Rattus norvegicus: one gene and its partners. The protein of the gene in region 1 purifies or fractionates together with the protein of each later gene. This does not show direct contact. Links are inferred from orthologs where the notes say so. Each region holds a gene or a part of one and is shown on either strand. Other genes may lie near its edges. The genes, in order: Tns2, Dtnb and Utrn.

What was found.
Region 2: the proteins of Tns2 (region 1) and Dtnb purify together in Homo sapiens (affinity purification with mass spectrometry; 3 studies listed by BioGRID and IntAct, with this or other methods). This does not show direct contact. The link is inferred for Rattus norvegicus from reciprocal best matches to the Homo sapiens genes TNS2 and DTNB.
Region 3: the proteins of Tns2 (region 1) and Utrn purify together in Homo sapiens (affinity purification with mass spectrometry; 4 studies listed by BioGRID and IntAct, with this or other methods). This does not show direct contact. The link is inferred for Rattus norvegicus from reciprocal best matches to the Homo sapiens genes TNS2 and UTRN.

What each region holds. Positions count from the first base shown.
Region 1 is NC_086025.1:135,113,407-135,120,069, reverse strand, and holds part of Tns2 (tensin-2), read right to left. Parts: intron 5,809-6,663; coding exon 5,700-5,808; intron 5,275-5,699; coding exon 5,237-5,274; intron 4,378-5,236; coding exon 4,339-4,377; intron 4,036-4,338; coding exon 3,997-4,035; intron 3,834-3,996; coding exon 3,784-3,833; intron 3,568-3,783; coding exon 3,396-3,567; intron 3,107-3,395; coding exon 3,056-3,106; intron 2,761-3,055; coding exon 2,638-2,760; intron 2,552-2,637; coding exon 2,487-2,551; intron 2,093-2,486; exon of another isoform or gene 1,962-2,092; intron 1,388-1,961; coding exon 1,304-1,387; intron 915-1,303; coding exon 802-914; intron 723-801; coding exon 662-722; intron 507-661; coding exon 431-506; intron 1-430. UniProt on the Homo sapiens protein: Tyrosine-protein phosphatase which regulates cell motility, proliferation and muscle-response to insulin. Phosphatase activity is mediated by binding to phosphatidylinositol-3,4,5-triphosphate (PtdIns(3,4,5)P3) via the SH2 domain.
Region 2 is NC_086024.1:32,283,133-32,289,895, reverse strand, and holds the start of Dtnb (dystrobrevin beta), read right to left. Parts: upstream 3,415-6,763; 5' UTR 3,145-3,414; exon of another isoform or gene 3,130-3,144; intron 1-3,129.
Region 3 is NC_086019.1:9,040,605-9,047,367, forward strand, and holds the start of Utrn (utrophin), read right to left. Parts: upstream 3,884-6,763; 5' UTR 3,785-3,883; intron 3,711-3,784; exon of another isoform or gene 3,583-3,710; intron 3,327-3,582; exon of another isoform or gene 3,110-3,326; intron 1-3,109.

The DNA of each region.
Region 1 (6,663 bases):
TGCCCCAGCCTCAACATGAACTCTCCTGGGATAGCAGGGGTGGGGTTTTCTTTTGGGCCTCTGCTCTGGCTTACAGGTTGTGATGGTGTGTATATGCTTGGCCCAGGGAGTGGCACTATTTGGAGGTGTGGCCTTGTTGGAGTAGGTGTGTCACTGTGGGTGTGGGCTTTAAGACCCTACTCCTAGCTGCCTGGAAGGGAGTCTTCCACTAGCAACCTTCAGATGATCCCGCCTTGATGATGATGGACTGAACCTCTGAACCTGTAAGCCCAGTCACAATTAAATGTTGATTTTATAAGAGTTGCCTTGGTCATGGTGTCTGGTCACAGCAGTAAAACCCTAACTCAGACACAGGCCTTGCCAGTTGCCTACATGACTAGAAGCCTCCCACCCCGTTGCAATCCCCACTCAGTATTACAAGCCCCCTCACCATGACGTCGCCTTTGAGGAGAAGGGCTGGCTCCAGGCTGATGCAAATCTGGCGGGGCCCTGGACCTGTGATGTGGCTTTGGGTAGAGACAAGGCAGAAGTCAGAGGCACAAAGGCAGAAGGGAGGGCATAAAGCTAGACACTGTCAGCCTCTCCGACTGGAACCAGAAGGTTGGGCCTGGAAAGACTGGGCAAGCAAGCTGATGTCAGGGCCTGGGAGCAGGGCACTCACTAGACTCCAGATGTGTAGACCAGCTGCATAGACTGGTAGATCTTGAGGAAGGGTTGGAAGCCTGGAGGGGTGGAAGAAGCCATGAGGGGTGTGGGGTAGGAGGTGGCTATCCCCATGGGATACAGCCCGGGGGGACTCACCTGTGTTGGGCTCAAAGGCTGGCAGCACGGGTACAAACACATAGTGCAGGAAGAGAGGGCTGCTGTTCATTCTGATGGAGCCTGACAGCAGCCCGCTGAAATAGCCGACATAGCTGGCGAGGGGGTGGAGGGTGGGGAGTGCCAAGAAAACATCAGTGTCTTCCTCTAGAGGGCGCCTCACACCAACCTGGCAGCTCTTGAGAGACCTAGAAGGCTCTTCTAAACTTCAAGGAGGCAAGCCCTGCGCATCCTGTGGAGTCTTACAAGCCTCTGCTTTATTCCTGTCACAGACCTTACTGTCAGCCAGAACGATCTAGTCTGTTTACGCATGGCTTCTTGCCTTCTACTCTACTAGCATATAAATACCACGGGAGCCTGACCTTGTTTGTTCTGACTTCCCAGAACTTGGCACAGGGCCTGGCTCACTGGGCTCCCGTACACTGTGGGATTCAGGTGTGCTACCTGAGAGGGAGAGTCAGCCCTTCCCCACTGGGGTGCTCACCGGTGCTGGGAGGGCTGCAGTTCCATGGCCGCCTTGTCCTCACAGAATTTCCTCATGGTGAGGGTTGCCAGCGCTTGGTCTGCCCTGGGGAGAGCAGGGGAGGTCGGGGGTTAAGGACCGGTCCCATTCCTGCCTTCCATTCTTTTTTTTTTTTTTTTAAGTTTTTAAAAAAAGTTTAAATTGCCTTATCTTGTATTCCCATGAATCACTTGAACAATTACAAACTAAGCGCATATATATACATATATATATGTGTGTGTATGTATATATATATATATATATATATATATATATATATATGTATATATCACTTTTATGCTATTGCTTGTCACTCATACACTTCTAGGAAGATCGCCTGCCTTCCATTCTTTTTTTTTTTCCGGAGCTGGGGACCGAACCCAGGGCCTTGTGCTTGCTAGGCAAGTGCTCTACCACTGAGCTAAATCCCCAACCCCCTGCCTTCCATTCTTAAACCCCAGGAAAGGAGGAACCTCTCTGTACAGAGGAACTCCCAGTGGTGGTGAAGAGAGCTAGAGACCCTCCAGCATAGCCCAGTTGTTGGGCCTTGGGCAACTGAACCTGGCTTTCCTCACTTTTAAAAGGAGGCAGTTAGACAACCTGATGGGTTGAACTGTATCCCTCCCCCAGAGAAATGTACCTCAAATGTGACCTTATTTAGAAATAGGGTCTTTGCGGATGTGGTTAGATAGGTTAAGATGAGATCATACAGGAGCAAGGTGGGTCCTTAATTAGGGTGATTGATCCTTAGAAGAGGAGAGACAGAAACAGGCGCGCAAAGAGAACACCACGTGATGACGGAAGCAGGGGGTGGAGGGATGCCGCTGCCAGCCAAGAACTGCCAAGGACTGTCAGGCACCACCAGAAGCTGGAAAGAGGCAAGGAAGGAGTCCGCCTAGAGTCCCAGAGAGAGAGCGTGGCCCCACTGACACTGACTTTGGACTTTTACTATCTCAGAACAGTAAGACAACTGAGCTATATTATTTTAAGCTAGTCTATGGCACTTAGCTGGTGGCCCTAAGAAACTAGCCCAGTTCCTCTGCTGTGGTGTGCTGGGCCCACAGCTGGAGATAGACAGTACCGTACCAAGTGTATAGTCTGACTAAGGAGAAAAAAGCTCAGACAGGGCCGGACGAGGAGGGGTCACTGAAGCAGGGCAACTCACCCTGCAGAGATCTTGCTATAGTGCATATAGGCAGAGACGATGACTCCAAGCTTGCCTTTGCTACCCTAAGAGATAAAGAGATGGAGATGGGGAACCTGCAACTTTTAGGCTGAGGTTGTCCTAGCTCTGTTACCCCAAGGTCCTGGCTCACCTTGCAGTATAACACGACCACATGCTGAGGGTCGGCACTGAGCCACGTCTCCATGGCTTTGCAGATGGAACACAACTTGTCCAGAGGTGGGGCATGTAATTCCGGCCAGCCAAAGTCATGTACCTGGGGAAGTACAAGTACAAGTGTGTGTGTGTGTGTGTGTGTGTGTGTGTGTGTGTGTGTGTAACAAAGGGAGGAAGATGTGAATACAATACAGGGACCTGGGGGCAAGGCGCAAACTTAGTAGTTGTCCACAGTAGCTTGGACACTTTTTTCCGCCATACTGTGGGCTGATAACCCCAGCACCTCGTTTTTAGTTATCTTAAGTAGTGTGAGAAAAGTGGATGTCAACAAGGAGGCAGAGCCTTTTCACAAGGTTGGCTCGGAATAAACGGCAAACAGACCATTTCCCTCCTACCTTGGGGTTCAGGCGGGTCAAGTCATGCCGTTTCTCTGAAAGGTTGAAGAGCTGAAATAAAGGGCAGAGTTAGATGACGGTGACTTGAGATGCAGGTGCTGGAGGTGAACCCTCATCGAGCATCTTGCTCTAAAAATAGTAAGATTGTAATCCGCTGGAGCTGAATTCTCTGCACCCTGCGGTGACTGGCTAACCTCCGGCCCCGCCCCGCCCCGCCCCTGCTCGCGAACACCGCCCCCTCTCCAGCCCCATCTCAGGTATTGATGGGGAAACAGTAGCCTCGCCCCATTTGAATCTCCCAGCCCTCTCATTGGTTGGATCTGGCCCACCCGCTTCTCACCAGGTACTTGTCTCGGTGCTTGGATTGAAGCACATGGGCCAGCTCTCGCAAGTGGCCTCGGTGTCGCTGCTCGTCTGGTCGTGCAGGAAAAGCTGCGGCCAGGATCCGCTCTGTTACATAGGTGAGGTCCAAGTCCCAGCGACGCTCCATGAGCGGATCCAGGCTGAAGCTCCTGGGAGAGGACGCAAAGCCGATTTAGAGAACAGAGAAGCGCGGCGGCCCAGGGGCTAAGGATCCTGGGGAGCTCTGGGCGACCTATTAGGTCCTTAGGGTGGGTGGCCCGGAGGGGGAGTACTGTCCTGGGGGCTTTATTGGCGGCCACTGCCATAAGCTGAGTAGCGGTCCAGTGGAAAGTGCCTACGTGGGATCACCGGGCGTCCTCACTCACCTGGGTAGAGTACTGCGTTGCTTTGAGTGGTTCAGAGACTTGGTGGACCCCTGGTGGATGAGAAACCGTATGCCGACAACTGTTTGGATGCATCGCTTCTAAGCTTCCGGGTCAAAAGTTCTACAAACCGTGGTCTTCTGCAAATGTAGGTCCCTACTCCAAGAGCTACCCACACGCCCGCCCCTTCCCGCTCAGGCTCCTAGCATCCCTTACCAGGTGTTCTATGCGCCGGACTGGGGCTGTGTTTCTCCGCTAGAGTGAGGAGGTGGGGGAGGAAATGGGAGTGGTTAGGGCAGGGGCAAGGACCAGTTTGGACCTGGGGGCGGGGTGGGAGCGCATGTCAGTGTCCACTCCCTGGGGACAGGACTCTAGTCCCCAACCAGCCCTAGAAGACAGTCACAACGAAGGGCTCCGACAGTCATCTGTTGAGGATAACTGACCAATAAACCACAGCATTCAGTACTACATAACCTGGAGACCCACTTTGAGACCACCAGACCCCGGGATATTAGTCAGGTTCCTTGCCTTCCCTGCCCCATCCTTGAGCACACTCACCAGCTCCGCGGGGGGCAAGGCCTGACAGGATGAAGTCACCTGGAAAGAGGTGGGAGTTTAAGGCTGAGCTGGTGAAACGGGGTGCTCAGCCTCAGGGAGGAAGATGCAGGGCCTGTCACCTGATGAGCACAAGCTCTAGCTGAGGTTCCTCTATTTAAGGGAGCCTTGTTTCTGCCTCTCGGTCTCCCACCCCTCAGGCCCCCTGCTTGTTGCTCTTGGCTCTCAGCCCCCTGCCCACACAGACCCCCATTCATCCAGCTGCAGGACAGGAGTTATATATAGAGCCAGCCAGCCAGGCAATGGCCAGGGGTGGACACTAGCCTCTTTCACCGTTGAGACCCCACCCATGGGGCACATAGCTCCCCCAAGCTAGCTTGAGGCCCTGGGACTATCCCCTGCACTGATGGAGGACCAGGAACGTTCCTCAGAGATGGGGGGCTGCCTCAGGGTCTCAGTGGACAGTGGGTACCACCTACAGGGTATACCCAAACAGGCTCAGCCATCACCACCCAGGATAAGACCAACTCAGGCATCCTGAGGACCCTTCCTCAGAGGGAAGGCACGGCCCATCCGGGTGCCTGGTCTCTGAAATCCTGCTCCCTCTCTATCCACCCCGCCCTTCCTCCCCCACAACTCACCCCCCCCCCCATCCTCTCGCCAGCTGCAGCCCGGGCACAGCACCAAGACAAACGCTGTCTCACTGTCCACCCTCCTGGGCCAACCCTCCAGGGGTGGAGTAGGGTGGTTCTTAAAGAGCCCAACACAACACCTCTGCCACCCAGGAAGGGGTCTCCAGGAGTGACAGGGGACTGGGTGGAAGACGATGCCAGTGTGGCTGAAGAAACCTGTTTGGGCAGGGAAAGACACCGTCCCCCATTAGCTAGGACTGGATACCCACCTTTGCTTCACATTTTCTGTGTGTGGCCACCTTGCAGACTAGAGAAAGGAAGGGGAGGATAGAGGTTAGCAGAGGCTATGGGAACAGTCAAAGTAGCTGTCCTCTAGTCCTCCAGGCCTTGGAAGCCAACCCTGGGACCCTAGTACACTGGGTCACTGGAGTCGAAGAACAGAGCTGGTTATCAGCAGGGAAGAGGGCCAGAGGTTGGCGTCTAAGATGAATAGAGGTGAGGAGGAAGAAGAGGAACAGGAGGAGGAGGAAGAGGAAGAGGAGGAGGAAGGGAAGCCCCTAGTCACAAAAGGATGGGAAGGTGGTCACAAATCTCCTGGGCGGTGGCAAGGTGGGTGTCAAGGGGACTGAGGGCATTTGTTTCTGAATTTGCCGGTCTCTAGAGCTAGAGTCACACAGCACAGAAGTGCTTACTGGAGGGCTCAACACCATAAGAACAGCAAGAGCCCCTCACCTCGGCACGAGACACCGGTCCCATCGATGGTCACCTTACACACTGCACACACTGGAGCCTTCTTCCGGAAAACCTTCTCCCGGAAGCTGTGCGGTTCTGCTTTCCTAGGCTGCGAGAGGGATGACAGACAAATAGGGTTATGAGTTCCTAGTGGGCCCATCTCCAAGGCTGGGCAGGGACCTTTCCTTAGAGCGACTGCATCCCTCTCTTCCAGCCAAAAGTCTCTGAACTCTAAGGCACACTTGGCCACAGCTGTTCCAGGGTAGTCATGAGGCCTGTCCTCTACAGGGCTTGGAATGTGACCCCTTGCGTCACCTTGGTTGGGTTAACTCCTCCCTGAGGGTTTACTCAGGCCTCCTCACGTGGAGGAGCTATGTGATGTCCTTGTCACCCCCACTTCAAATGCGAGGGCTTTCTGAGAATCTCGCTGAGTGAGGGGGTCTGACTCTCCTCTCCTCTTGCCCTCCCCACATGAGGCTCATATTCTGTGAGCTGACAGGCCGGCCCAGACACACAAGCGCTGTCCCATAACACCCAGACTGACTGCAGCCAGTCCTGAGCCCCTGACTCTCAAGGGCTCTAAGCTCCCGGCAGCTGATTCGGCCCCCTCCCCCACAGTCAGAACAACATGTTTACTCCTTGTGCATGGAGATGGCAGGCTGCAATTGTCTAAGACTCGGGTGGCAATGCTGGAAGGAAGAATGGCGGCAGGGACAGATGTGCAGCAGCTGTCTCACTGCCTCTGCATGTTATGACAGGGGCGGCCAGGTTCTCTGGATGCCCGAGCCACCCCCCACCCCCCGCCCCAGGTAGTGAGGTCAGTGACTGGCTGGGATGCCACAGGTTGTCCAGGTCCCCCTCAGTCCTCACTCACTAAAAGTTCTCTCTGCTACTCTGACCCCTCCCACCCCAATTCATCTCTCCTGTCCTCCAGTGTCTGTGGACAATCTCCCTCATGCCACAG
Region 2 (6,763 bases), on another chromosome or scaffold:
AATTACCAAGACTTTTCACTGGATGAGTGAATAAACAAACTGGTATTTCCACTGACTGGAATATTATTTGTTACTAAAAGGAAATAAGTCATCAGTCCATAAGCAGGTATAAATGCATATTACCAAGTAAAAGAAACCAGAAATATAATTCATAGCGTGACATAAAGACATATTTATTTTCAATTTTTTCCTTTATTACCCTTGTTTGTATGGGTGTATGTGTGTGGGTACCCTCATGCTATAGCAGATGGAGGTCAGAGGCCAACCACAGGAATCAGTTCTTTCCTTCAACACAAGGGTTTTGGGAATTGAACTGAGACCATCAGGATTAGCAACAGGTGCCTTTACCTGCCGAGTCATATCACCAGCTTGAGAATTTTTTTCTGAGCATACACAGCCACTTAGAAAAGAAGTTTTCATATATTTATGACAAACATTACATTTTTGTTTTTAAGAAAAGTCTCAGACTAGAAGGTGTATTTGATTTCCATTCACTGCCAATAATAAGAGAGGCTTAAATATACTAAGTACAGTGCGCAACATACATTAAGAAATCACACAGTAAAGACTACGCAGGTCTTGTGTTCCAACATGAAAAAAAAAAGTCTACAGAGCAACCTAGACAGAATGCTATAGTAAAATGCAAAGAGAGCTGGAAATGACTCAGTGGATAACGCACTTGCCACGCAAATATACGAATTGGAGTTCAAATCTCTAGAACCCGCATACAAGCCAGGCAGGTATAGCAGCCACCTACAATGCCAGCGCTCTAGAGACAGACAGGAGTCATCAGAACGAGCTGACTGGCTAGACTAGCCAAATTGGCCAGCTCCAGGTTCAGGAGGAGGCTGAACTTAATAAATAAGTAAGAGAGCAACTGAGAACCTCCAGTGTCAACTCTGGGCTTTCACAGGCATATACAATGTATGGTACATGGATACCATATGCAGACTCCCCCATACCACATACACATGCAAAAAAAGTAAAATGCATAGAAAAAGGCCTGGGAAGAAAACAACAAACTGGTAACCGGAGTAGAAAAAGGAGTAGGTATGTCAAGGGAGTTTTATTTGGAGCAATTTACAAGCAAATATGCATTCTGAACTGCTCAAACTACTGCAACTCCAGGAGCTGCCAGCACAGAGAGACTCCAGTGCAAAAGACACCCTAGAACAGCAGCGTACCTCCAGCACATCTAGAAACCACAGCTCTAATGCTTATGTAATTTTAAGTTAATAAAATAGAGGGAGGGGTTGTCCCCAAGACAGCAGGAGTTAACTTTCTCATGATACAAAAGTATATATTTTGATTGGGATAGGTTACAAAGTACACATGTCTTTTCTTTTTTTGTTTGTTTTCTTGGGGGAGGGACTTTTGTTACTTTGTTTTGCTTTTTTTGTTGTTGTTGAAACAGTGTCTTCCTATGTAACCCTAGCTGGACTTGAAGTGATCAGCTTGCCTCTGCCTCCTAAGGACTTCAATCTAAAGACATATGCCACCATGCCCACCAATATGTACCATTTTTTCAAAATACCCAACTCAATATGCAAAGTCTATCCATTTTATCCTATGTAAACTACACATGAAGAAGGCACAGTAGTGCACACCTGTAATCCCAGGACACATAGATAGGAGAATAGACATAAGTTCAAAGTCAGAATGACAGAGAGAGACCCTATCTTTAACCCAAACAAACAAAAAGTTTGTTTTAACCAGCCATGGTGCTTCACAGGAAGGACTAACAGAAGGATAGCCACAGTTCAAAGTCAACTTACAGCCTGGGCTACTGTATTTCGAGTACCAATATAGCTGGGGTTACTACTCAGCAAGACCCTGCTTCAAAAACCGGGGGTAGAGGGTTTATTTTCAAATAAATGTAAATTAAATATCTAAATAAAATATTAGAAGTGCCCGAAACAAGACACCCAAATTTGCAAAGCCACATAGGCACCCCAAAACAAAACCTAAGAGAGACTTAATGGTTGTACCCTGAAATGCAAATACTAATTAAAATGAACTAAATGAATATACTTCAAGGCTTCTATATATCCAATGACAAATTTGGATTAATATTGCTCTTATTTTTTATATAAGGAGACTAAGGGTCAGATATGTTAACATCTGAAGACATGAAATAAAGGGTAACTGGAAATCCTGCGCACTCTAATATTTTAACTATATTCTGTCTCCCGGGCAAAATTCAGTGAAGCTAAAGACCCTGCCAGCACCACCTTGCCTGCACAACCCCTTCAGAGGCAGTTCCACTTAAGTCTGATAAAAATCCTCAGAGAACACATAAAAGGTCAAGTTTTAATTTGGCAAGCAAAGTAATCCAACAGGCATTGCAAGCCAGGGAAAGGAAGCAGCAGTATGGGGCTGGAGAGTCCAAGCAAGGCAGAGGACAGAACTCCAGCCCTTACAGACCTGAAGAGACTTAAGCATTCTCTCACCTCAGAACCAAGATCCAAGAGGCAGGATAGAAATTATAAAGTGTTCTCTAGGCAAAAGCTCCCTCCAGTCCTCCTCAAACGACAGAGGAGGGGGGAAAAGGCCAATGAGAGAAGGACCGGAACCTGACTTCAAGCAGCCACCCAAAGAACAAGCTTCTGGTGCACAACATACAAGAACCGCGTGGATGAAGAAGTGGCCACAAGCCACCGGAGTCTGCCACCTAAGCCACTGGTTTAGCGTCTAAAACCCTGGGTTACCTGAGAAGGCAAAAAGAGAATCCTAGGACCAAAGGAAGCCAGCGAGCATCCCTAACTCTACAGAGACTGACACTACTTCATATCAAATGTATCAAACCCTGGTCCCTCCATCCACTCCTGCAGTGGGCATCCATTGTAGGGCTTTCGGGATCCAGGCCACATCCTGAGGACTGGGCAGAAAACAGGCGCGGAGCTTAATTCTAGTTGGGAAGGCAAGATTCTCCTTCCAAATTTCTTTCCCCTCTCTTTTAAATGTCAGTAAGACCCTTCAAATCTCTTCCCAATAGCTCCCACCAGCTTTCCTCAAGTATCTTACTTTCTCCACAAGCCAAGCAACTTACGGCCCAGTTTCCCAGGGCTGGGAAAATCCTAAAGAGACCTGAAGTGAACAGAACAAGAAACATAAAATAGAGCACTTTACATTTTGTGTGTATACTTTCACAGCCGGACTGTCAGCACTTCAACAGCAAATAAATGATGGTTGAGAGTGATAAAGTCGTGACCCGGGCGCTGACCGCGGTTCTCTCCTGCTCCGTAGCTAATCAATAAACGCTTGCAGAGAATGCTAGAAAGGTCTCCCTGATTCCCCAAGGCCTGGCACAGGAATTTAACAGTAAGCATTCGTCAGCTGCATCCTCGCTCTTCTCGGGACACTGTGCCCATCAGAGGTGACCTGAGTAGACAGGTTCGTCTACCGGGAGCCTCGGGAGACACTGAGAGGTGATCTGGAATGAATTCCCTCCCCTCTGCCAGGGCCTGCCTACCTCACCTGCCCTCTGCCAGGACCTGCCGCCTTCGCCCCCTTCAGCACCTAACGCTGAGCCTCCTCCCCGCAAGTCCGGCTCAGGCTGCATCAGCAGCGCGCGCAGCCGGGTTCTGCGCTCCGCGGCCCCCCGCGCGCCCGGGTGACCGGAGAGCCCTCTCCGGCCCGGCGTGCGGTCTCCCAAGGGTCGCCGTTCCAGGGCCGCGCGCTCCGCCACCCCGCAGCCCTCCTTTTCGCTCCTCCAGCCCCGGCGGACTCCCCACCTGGCTCGCTTCCCGGCCGAAGCTGAGGGGCCGTCGCGTGGCTCTCCGGCGGCCGCAGCCTCCTCCGACCCGGCCCCCTCGGCAGAGGCAGCTGAAGCAGCGGCAGCGACTGAGGCGGCGGCGCCCACTCAGGCCCCGGAGCCGCCCCCGCGGCGAACGTTCCTGGCGCCGGCTCGCGCCGCTTCCCCGCCCGGCACGCGCAGCGAGCCCGCCCCCGGCGCGAGGGCGCGAGGGCGAGGGCGAGGGCGGGTGCGCGCGGAGGGCGGGCGCGCGGAGGGGCGGGGCTTCCGCCGCCAGAGGGGGCGGGGAGGCGGCCGAGTGCCCTCCCGCGGGTTTGCGCGCCCCCTCCGGGCCTCTGCTGTGCGCTGGCCGCGGAGGCGGAGGTGGAGGCGGAGGTGCGCTTCCACTCCACAGGTAGCTGCCGGGCGGCTGGGTGCTGCGCCGACGTGACTGAACCGTAAGGAATGCGAAGAAATACCCGGTGAATCATTCACCCGCGCCTCGAGCGCCGGGTCCTCCCCCGAGTGACTTTCCACATTGCCTCAGCAGGCTCGTTTGAGCACTAACTCATGCGCCTGGTGCCCGGTGGACACGATCTGGGTCACGGCCCTGGTCCCCAAGAGCGCATAACTTAGGGAGAAGAGCAGCCTTGCGAAGGACCGAGTCCGGTCCTCTGCGCAAAGGCAAGCCACAGCCGGATGCGGTGAGAGGATGAGGAGGGACAGATTACTTTCCGCTTAGTCGTTCAGTAGTTCCTGAAAGTGGGAGTATTTGGACATTAAACAGCTTGGACAAGGGAGCAGGGGCGACAAAGCTTCATTTATTTATGTATCTATATTTATTACCAACTCATCTATCCTTTTTTAAAGCATTTATGTTTTATTTTATGTGTATGAGTGTTTGGGCTGCAATGTTTGCACCCCGTGAGTGCCCCCGGAGGCCAGAAGAGTGTTTTGGATCCCCTGGAACTGTGAAGTGTGGATGGATGCTGGGGAATCAAACGCAGGTCCTCGGATAACATAGCAAGTGCTCTTTGCTGAGCCATCTCTCCAGCCCCTCATATTGCCATTTTTTTATAGAATCCTTCTTTAGGGACATCGAAGTCTTCTTTTAACGTCTCAAAAATCAAAAAATTTCCCCTCAACATTAAGACAACAGCAATATCCCTTAGGTTTTTGGTGTATGTGAACGTGCATGTGTGAATGGAAGCAGCTCCAGGCCTTTGTGCTTTAGGGAAGCTTTTTGAAGCTTTCTGGCACCTTCTGGAAAAGCAGATCGTGCCACCTGCTTCGATCACACTGTCGGGCTGCCTCTAGAACACCCTTTTCCTCCTCTTCTCACAATCTATTTTTAAATTCCTATGGTGAAGGCAGTCAGTGCTGTGTTGATAACTTTTTTTTTCTGAGGGGGAGGGAATACATTACTTTTTACACAGGAATCGTGTGGCTGCTTTGCATGTCGGAGGAGACTCACTGGTTGCTGGGTGGTGACTGCTCCAACCATGTAAGGATATTCCGACTATGTCAAGAGACATTTAGTTTCTTACCATGTATCGAGCTCCTGCTATGGGGAAGGCACTGATGGGTAAAAACATTGACTCTGGCAATGAGGTAGACTGTGAAACTGAAGCTATAGGAACCCAGTACGGGGCCTCAAACACCTGTAATTCCTAGCACTCAGAAGGCTGAGGCAGAAGGATCACTCTGGGTGTGAGGCCATGCTGCAGGATGAGCCAGTGTCAAGGTAAATCAATAAACACCTTATTTCTTCTATCTCACTGCCTCACGTCTTATCTCAAGTTTGAAGTGGGCTCTTACAAACTTCTCTAGAGCTCACTAATTTACACTTGTGTTAACAGCCTTTTATCTCTTGAAGCACTTCACATCCTCACAACAACTTTCAAACATGTTCGCCCATTTTCCGCCTCATATTTCAAGATTATCAGTGTCTTTCCTGGTTGTTTCCTAGTCGTCTTTAGCATTCTACAGTCTATAGTTCTATAGTTTTCCTAGTCATCTATAGCGTTCACCTTACTTATCCTAGGGAGGAAGATTCGGCTCCAGCTACCACTCCCTCTGTGTTCTCCATCCTAAACGCCCTTGAAAAGTCCCCCCCACACACACCTCTTCGGCAGCCTGTCCAGCCATGGCTGTGACTCTTGACCACATCAATGACTGATTTCATCCCAACCGCCATCATCCATTTTGGAGTCCTCATATTACTGGACCCTTCTGTGGCATTTGCTAGCACAAGTCCCTCAGCTTTGTGGCATGCCTCCACTCTAAAGCCTGTTGTTCACGAATCTGACTCAGTTCACCCCCCATGCACACACGCTTACATGCACGCAAATTCCCCCTAACCCCTTGTATCCACTCTTTGTCCCCATCTTTTTCCATATCTCTGGCTCCTAAATGGATTTTAGCTTATAAAAGTGCAAGCAAAGATGTTTCATCTTGAAGCTTTTCCATGGGGTGAGCTTGTTGTGCTACACTGCCTTATGCTCCCCGAGGGTCACCCACCCAGGAACTCTGAATTCATGAATGGAACACACATACACGCGCATGCGTGCGCCAGTCAATTTTAAAATGCCTTGGCTGCCTCAAAGGCTGGGTATTTCTAAAACTTCCCCTGCTACCCCAAGCCCAATTGGAGAAGTGACCGCTTACCCAAAATCTCACATGGCTGGTTGGCTCTGTCTCCTCCAGCTCCTAGGCCCATTTGTACGGCCCCCTCCATGGCGATTCTGCATCTCTACCCCCCAGCATCCTAGCCTGCACAACTCGAAGGGTCCTACCCTGTCTCCCTTTGCTCAACCATTGGCCACTGGCATCTTTATCAATTGATCAAAAACAACTGGGGACAAGGACCTTCAGCGTTTGAAGATGCAGATTTCCTGGGGTTGGGGATTTAGCTCAGCGGTAGAGCGCTTGCCTAGCAAGCACAAGGCCCTGGGTTCGGTCCCCAGCTCCGAAAAAAAAAGAAAAAAAAGAAAAGAAAAAAGAAAAATGAAGATGCAGATTCCCAATTGT
Region 3 (6,763 bases), on another chromosome or scaffold:
GTAGCATACAGCACTTCTTTATTATATAAATATGAACATTATACCGCATAGTAACTTTCTTTTTCTGCAACTCAGGAAGTGAGAGGAGTCCATTAATAAGAGCAAAATGAGAGTCAAAAACGGTTGAAGGAAAGGAACACTGGTAAATTGTTAAAGCTTTAAGAACCATTTCCTCTCAATAGATGGATGGGCTCATCAGCCTCCCAGACTTTATAGGACATTAAAAAAAACTTCTTAAATGTTTATTATGACTATACACAGACCTGAGTATAGTGACTCACAGCTGTAGTCCCAGTACTTAAGAGACAGAGAAAAGACGGTTCTCAAAATCCTAGGCTAGCCTGAGCTACAGAATAAATCCCAAACTAGTCGTCTTAAAAATTAAAAATAAACCAAAGGGCTGAAGATGTGATTCTCTGCTTTCCTAGGGTAGGCATGGTTCTAGGTTTGCTCCCCAGAACTACAAAAATGAAATTAAAGTCAAAAGTAACCAGGCAAGAAGCCTGGCAGCCTGGCCATTTGCCTAGCAGCTTCCACCAGGAGTGGACCAGTGACTCCAGCTGGAGAAGCCAGAGTTTAAAGCTACCTTCTACTGTACAGAGAGTTTGAGGCCAGCCTGGGCTACATGAGGCTTGGGGGATGGGGAACACCTCCCCACAAAGAATACAATCAAAAGCTAATATATTCCTATCTTGAAAGTGTAAAAGATTTGCTAAACTTTTATGTGTATCTTTAATATATTAGAGAACCAAAATCTTATCCACAGATTATGTAAACATTCTATTATGGGGAATCCAGTTGCCTAAGAAAAAGTCTCTTTTCTGGAATGAGGTCCCTTTGAAAGACAGGTCTATTGTGCTACTTCACATCTGGTTTTATCCAGGGACCTCCACAGTTAGGCTCCTCAAAGACGTGTCCTCTCTATTAGGAAGGGACCTGCCGCTAAGCCTGATCACCACACACTCGATAAATAAATAAATATCTAAAAATGCATTTTTTTTCAATTTATATGTGAATGTCTACCTCGTGTGTATACCTGGTGCCCAAGGATGCCAGAAATGGACATAAGAAAATGAACCTGAACTCTCTCTTAACCACAGAGCCATATTTTAAAAAGGCACACATGCTCACACATACACACACACACACACACACACACACACAATGCCGCCAATTTCATTTTGAGAGAAAGTTAACTCTTGTACACAGGTTTCATTTGCATAGGACCAATAATGCTTCTTCATCATAATGTTTGATTCTGTCATTCTCCTTGGGATAATTTTTTCCAATCTTCTCTTCTTGATAATGCAAATTCCTACTACACTGCAAAAACATAGCAGGACCAAAAAAAAAAAAAATCAATAAACTGGAAAAGAATGAGGACGAACACATTAAGAGAAGGTCCTTTAAAACATTTACCAGCCACCAACTCTTGTGGCCGCGAATGTTCCAGGAGCTCCATGTTGAGTTGGAAAGTTAAAGGTTACCTCCTTCCAAACTTCCAGATGCAAACCAGGTGTGGTGGTGCACACCTATAACCCCAGCTACTTCGGAGGCTGAAGCAAGAGGAGTGCCAGTTCAAAGCCAGCCTAAGCCACATAGTGAAACCCTCTCTCTCTCTCTCTCTCTCTCTCTCCCTCTCTCTCTCTCTCTCTCTCTCTCTCTCCCTCTCTCTCTCTCCCTCTCTCTCTCTCTCTCTCTCTCTCTCTCTCTGAGCTGGGGACCGAACCCAGGGCCTTGCGTTTGCTAGGCAAGCGCTCTACCACTGAGCTAAATCCCCAACCCGAAACCCTTTCTCAAAATAACATAAATAAAACGCTATGGCAACTGTAACTCTGTAACTGCTGGTAGAGTTACATGGGGACAGAATCAAAATTTTCTTAGTAACGATGTGTCCCAAAGAGACTCCACTTCCACCCACGCCCGTGGAATGGAAGGAGCCACATTCCACACGGGGGTAAGGGAGAAACTAGAGGTGAATGACCCAGAGGTTGGACAGGAGCCCTATACATAATTGCTCTCCTCTCAAAAATAACAGCCGATGCCATTCAGTTTCCCCACAGAAACTGACGCGCACCACAGCACAGGCTCTTCAGGGTGGATGCTTCTCTGTCATATCAAAACAGAACGCCAGGGTTGGTGGCTTTATAGGCAAAAGTTCAAGAATCTGCAACATTCAAAAGGTGTCATCATAAAGGAATATTCAATCAAGCAGCTGTGAAGAAAAGCTAAGTCCTGCAAACACTAGTCACTCACAAGTGGTCAAAAGCTAGGAATGCTGGAGAGGGAAGCCGAGGAACAAGTTTGCCATTCTGCTTGTAAAGGAGACCGCTGAGTGCCAAGAACTGCCATTCATTCACACTAGAAGCGCTCCAGGAAAGGTTAATGCCACTGTGATTAATGCTGTTTACGGGCGCAATAAATTTTTGGTTAAAGAGCTATCTCGAAGGTCTCATAAATGCTGGTGGGGGGCGGGGCGCTTCAGCGGGAATGGCCTATGCCCCTCACTGCCTTGTCTTCGGGACTGAACGACCCACGAGCTTCAAATTCCTCCAGTTCTTACAGGCAGGCACCAGTGTAATCTGCAGGCTGCGTCCCCAGCGCCCAGCAGCAGCCAGCCCCCGCGGGTCCAGCCTGACTTCAGAGGCCCAGGGCAAGTTCCAACGGAATAGATGAGGCTGCTACCGCGCCACCCTGGAGATCCTATCTCTTCCGGAATTCGTGCGCTCTGGCCGCGGCAAACCCTCCCACTCAAATGCATGGAGAGCCTACCTCTCCAGATACTGGTGACCCAGGTATCTGAAGGCAAGACGAATAAAGGATGCTACCTCAGTGACTCCAAAGAGTGGAGCCCGGAATTACACCCAGGATCTCCAATTTGGGGGTTTAAAAAAGGCGGGTCCCTGACTCTGAAGAGTAACACACGTTTTCTCCTCCCCTTGAAATAACCCTGGAACGCCGCACGGTCGGAATCTAGGGACTTGAAAAGTCTCTTTGAACAAAGTGCCTTCTAAAAGTTGCACAGCTTACAATTAGCTCTTTGTTGGCTTTTAAAGTGGCCTTGGGCAAGCAAAGCCTCAGACCCAGGCCAAAGAGGGGCAAGAATTACCTTGTCAGTTGCAGTGAGGGATGCCAAGAGTCCGGAAAAGCAGGCAGCCGCGCGGGACTGCGCACCAATGAGATATCCCTAACCCCTCAGTCTCTCCAGAGCTGCAGGCAGGGAGCTGGCCACCTCGCCACACTGGGGCCCCACCCTGAGGAACGGCAACTACCGAGAGGTCGAGCACGCCCCCAGCCTGGAGGCCGGCTAGAAAGCGCTCCCCAACCCTCCCACTATACAGCCGCCCTCCCCACCCTCTCCTCCGGGACACCGCCCGGGCCCCGCCTTCCCGGGAACCGGAGGTGTGTGACAAGCTCTCCAAAGAGGCCACGTCCCCTCTTGAAGATCGCTAGTCCTGCTGCCCTGCTTGGGGCGATAAACAGACAGGCGACAGCACCCTCTCCTCTCAAGGGAGGGACAAGACAACAGCGCTAAACTAGACCTAGGAATTTGAGACCTTGGCGACCAGTACAGATTCCCACCTTCTCATCCCAGCTCTCTCCCGCCCAGTCAGAAGACGCAGAGCTTCCAGGGAAAGTGCAGAAGTTGGCAACAGCTACTTCGGGACCCAGGCGGTGGAACTGCAGAAAGGACCCACCTCCTTTCCTTTCAGCCCCCGCCCCGTTCCCTCCGGGACTGCGGTCACATTACCCAGCCCGAAGCTTCAATAATGCATGGGCTTACCTGCTAACCAAGTCCCAGAGGCCCCAGGGTTCCTCTGGGCGTGTTCGGGTAGTGGGGAGCTTGCGTTGGACCTTAGGAGAATTTTGGTTTTCCTTTTTTTTTTTTTTTTAATGAAACGTGGAAAGCCCGACAAAATCCAAAGGGGGTGGGGGGATCCAAAATTGACACCCGATTGGAAACGCCCCCTGACTTGTGCAATCTTCCTGCCCGGTAGTTCCGCCAAAAACAAAACAGTCCAAACGCTAGCCCGGGGGGCAGGCGCACGCTGGAGTTTTCCCTCTACAGGAATGACCCCAAAGAAAAGGGACGCCTCTCCCGGAGGTCGCCGGATCCGCTGAGGGAGCCCAAGGTTCCTCCTCGGCCCTGGGCGGGAGAAATCCCGCGCCCGGCGCTGCCCGCTCCCCTCCTCCGGGGAAGGACGACTCCACAACTTTGTGCGCGAGAGCTGCTCGCTGCTCCGGCTCCTCCTCCTGGTCCTCCCCCGGCCGCCGCCTGCCCCTTTGTTGGAGAGCGAGGGTGGGGCGCTGCTGGGTCGGCCCGCCACCCGGGAAGGAGCTCGCTTCTCTCAGCACGGACCGCCCAGCCTCGGAGCCGTGGATCCCACGGGTCGGATCAGACGCCTAGCCGCTCGCGCGCCCCGGGCTCGGGGCCCCGGCCCAGCAACTTTGTTCTCCGGGAGAGACCTGTCCCCCTAGGCTCCGGGTTCGGCCCTGCCCGGGCCTGGGAAGCCACTGGGAGCCGGGCTCCCGGAACGTGGCGCCTCGGGTCACCTGACCGCGCGCCCGGTCAATCAGCACTAGCCCTAAGCGCCCTCCCAGCCGCAGCCGCCCGCTCCGTGCGGTGCGCGGTGCGGGAATCCCGGAACCAGTCGTGCATGCTGGAAGGCAGAAGCTGGAGTAGGCACCATGCGCACGCACCGTGCCTTTTATTCAAATTGTCCGAAAATGGGTGTCACGCCCCCCTAGGCACACTAGGTGTCTGTTAACCGAGTGCTTTTTTTTTTTTTTCTTTTAGTTTTTATTTTAAATAAATCTCGACCTGCTGGCCAACTCATCCCATTTCTGTTTACTGAGGTTGTTGAGTTTGCGGTTCTAAATCCAAGGGTATATTTATTTTATACAATTTTCTTAGCATCTTTTTTAAATGCTGTTTAAACAACCCCAAGTGTCCTTATATGTGCATATACACAAATAACGTCGGTGCTAACCTTTAAATTTCTCTCTCTCTCTCTCTCTCTCTCTCTCTCTCTCTCTCTCTCTGTGCATGAGTGTGTGGGTGTGAGTGTGTGGGTGTGAGTGAGTGTGAGTGCATGTGAGTGCGTGGGTGTGAGTGTGTGTTAGTGTGTATATGAGTGTGTGAGTATGTGTGTGCATGAGTGTGTGGGTGTGAGTGTGAGTGCATGGGTATGAGTGTATGAATGTATGTGTGTCTGAGAGAGTGTGAATATATGTGTGAGAGTGTGTGAATGTGTGTGTGAGAGTGTGTGAATGTGTGTGAGAGTGTGTGAGTGTGTGTGCATGAGTGTGTGGGTGTGAGTGCATGGGTGTGAGTGTGTGAGTGTGTATATGAGTGAGTGTGTATATGAGTGTGTGTGTTAGAGTGTGTGTGAGAGTGTGTGTGAATGTGTTTGTATGAGTGTGTGTGTATGAGTGTGTGTATGAGTGTGTGTGTGAGAGAGTGAATGTGTGTGAGAGAGAGTGAATGTGTGTGAGAGTGAATGTTTGTGTGAGTGTGAATGTGTGTGTATGAGTGTATGTATGAATGTGTATGTGAGTGTGTATATGAGTGAGTGTGTATACGAGTGTGTGTGTATGAGTGTATGTGTGAGAGTGTGTGAATGCGTTTGTATGAGTGTGTGTGTATGAGTGTGTGAGTGTGTGTGTATGAGTGTGTGTGAGAGAGAGTGAATGTGTGTGTGAGTGTGAATGTGTATGTATGAGTGTATGTATGAGTGTATGTGAGTGTGTATATGAGTGTGTATACGAGTGTGTGTATGAGTGTGTGAGAATGTGAATGTGTGTGTATGAGTGTGTGTGTGAATGTGTGTGTGTGTATATGAGTGAGTGTGTATATGAGTGTGTGTATGAGTGTGTGTATGAGTGTGTGTATGAGTGTGTGAATGTGTGTGTGAGAGTGAATGTGTGTGAGAGAGTGTATGAATGTGTGTGTATGAGTGTGTGTGTAGGAGTGTGTGTGTGTGTGTGTACATGATGTATGGTGTTGGGGTGCTGGTGACAGTGCACACATGAAGTCAGAGGACAACTTTGTCGAGACAGTTCTCACTCACTTTACACCTTTATGAGGAATCCAGGGTTCAGACTCAAATCTTCAGACTTTAATATTCATCAGGGGCCTTACCAGTGGCACCATCTGCCAAACCTTCCTTCCTTCCTTCTCTTCTTTCTCTCTTTCTTCCTTCCTTCCTTTCTTTCTTTCTTTTTCTTTCTTTCTTTCTTTCTTTATTTATTTATTTATTTTCTTTTTTTTTTTCAAGCAAACTTACATCTGTTTGCAAAACTTGTTGCAAGTTTACAGGGTTAGCCAAGACCTATCTTGGACTAAATGAAATCTGTGTTATATGTGCTTCCTTAATCCTGGAGGGTTAATTTATGAGCCAGTGAAAATAATTCACTAGCCTCGTGTTAATCACCAGTTGAAAACCTCTGGGGTCTCGAGTACTGAGGGCTGAGACAGAAGAGACTTCTTTATAAAGTCTGACTTAACTTCACCTTGGAGGATGCTCTCCATACAAGCCGAAGAGAATCTAATCACCTAGTAGGAACTGATTGACTTTCTCGTCCACTTCCACTCCTCCCATTAGCCAGCATCGGTACGAGGCTTGCTGTGGCCAACGATACATAGAAAGCCAACATAGATCTCGCCCTAGAAGAATGTAGGATTCATTTAGGTGAGATAAGACGTGCAAGCAAGAACATTCAAGATTCCTGATTTCAGATCAAGTGTGTGGTATAGATTACC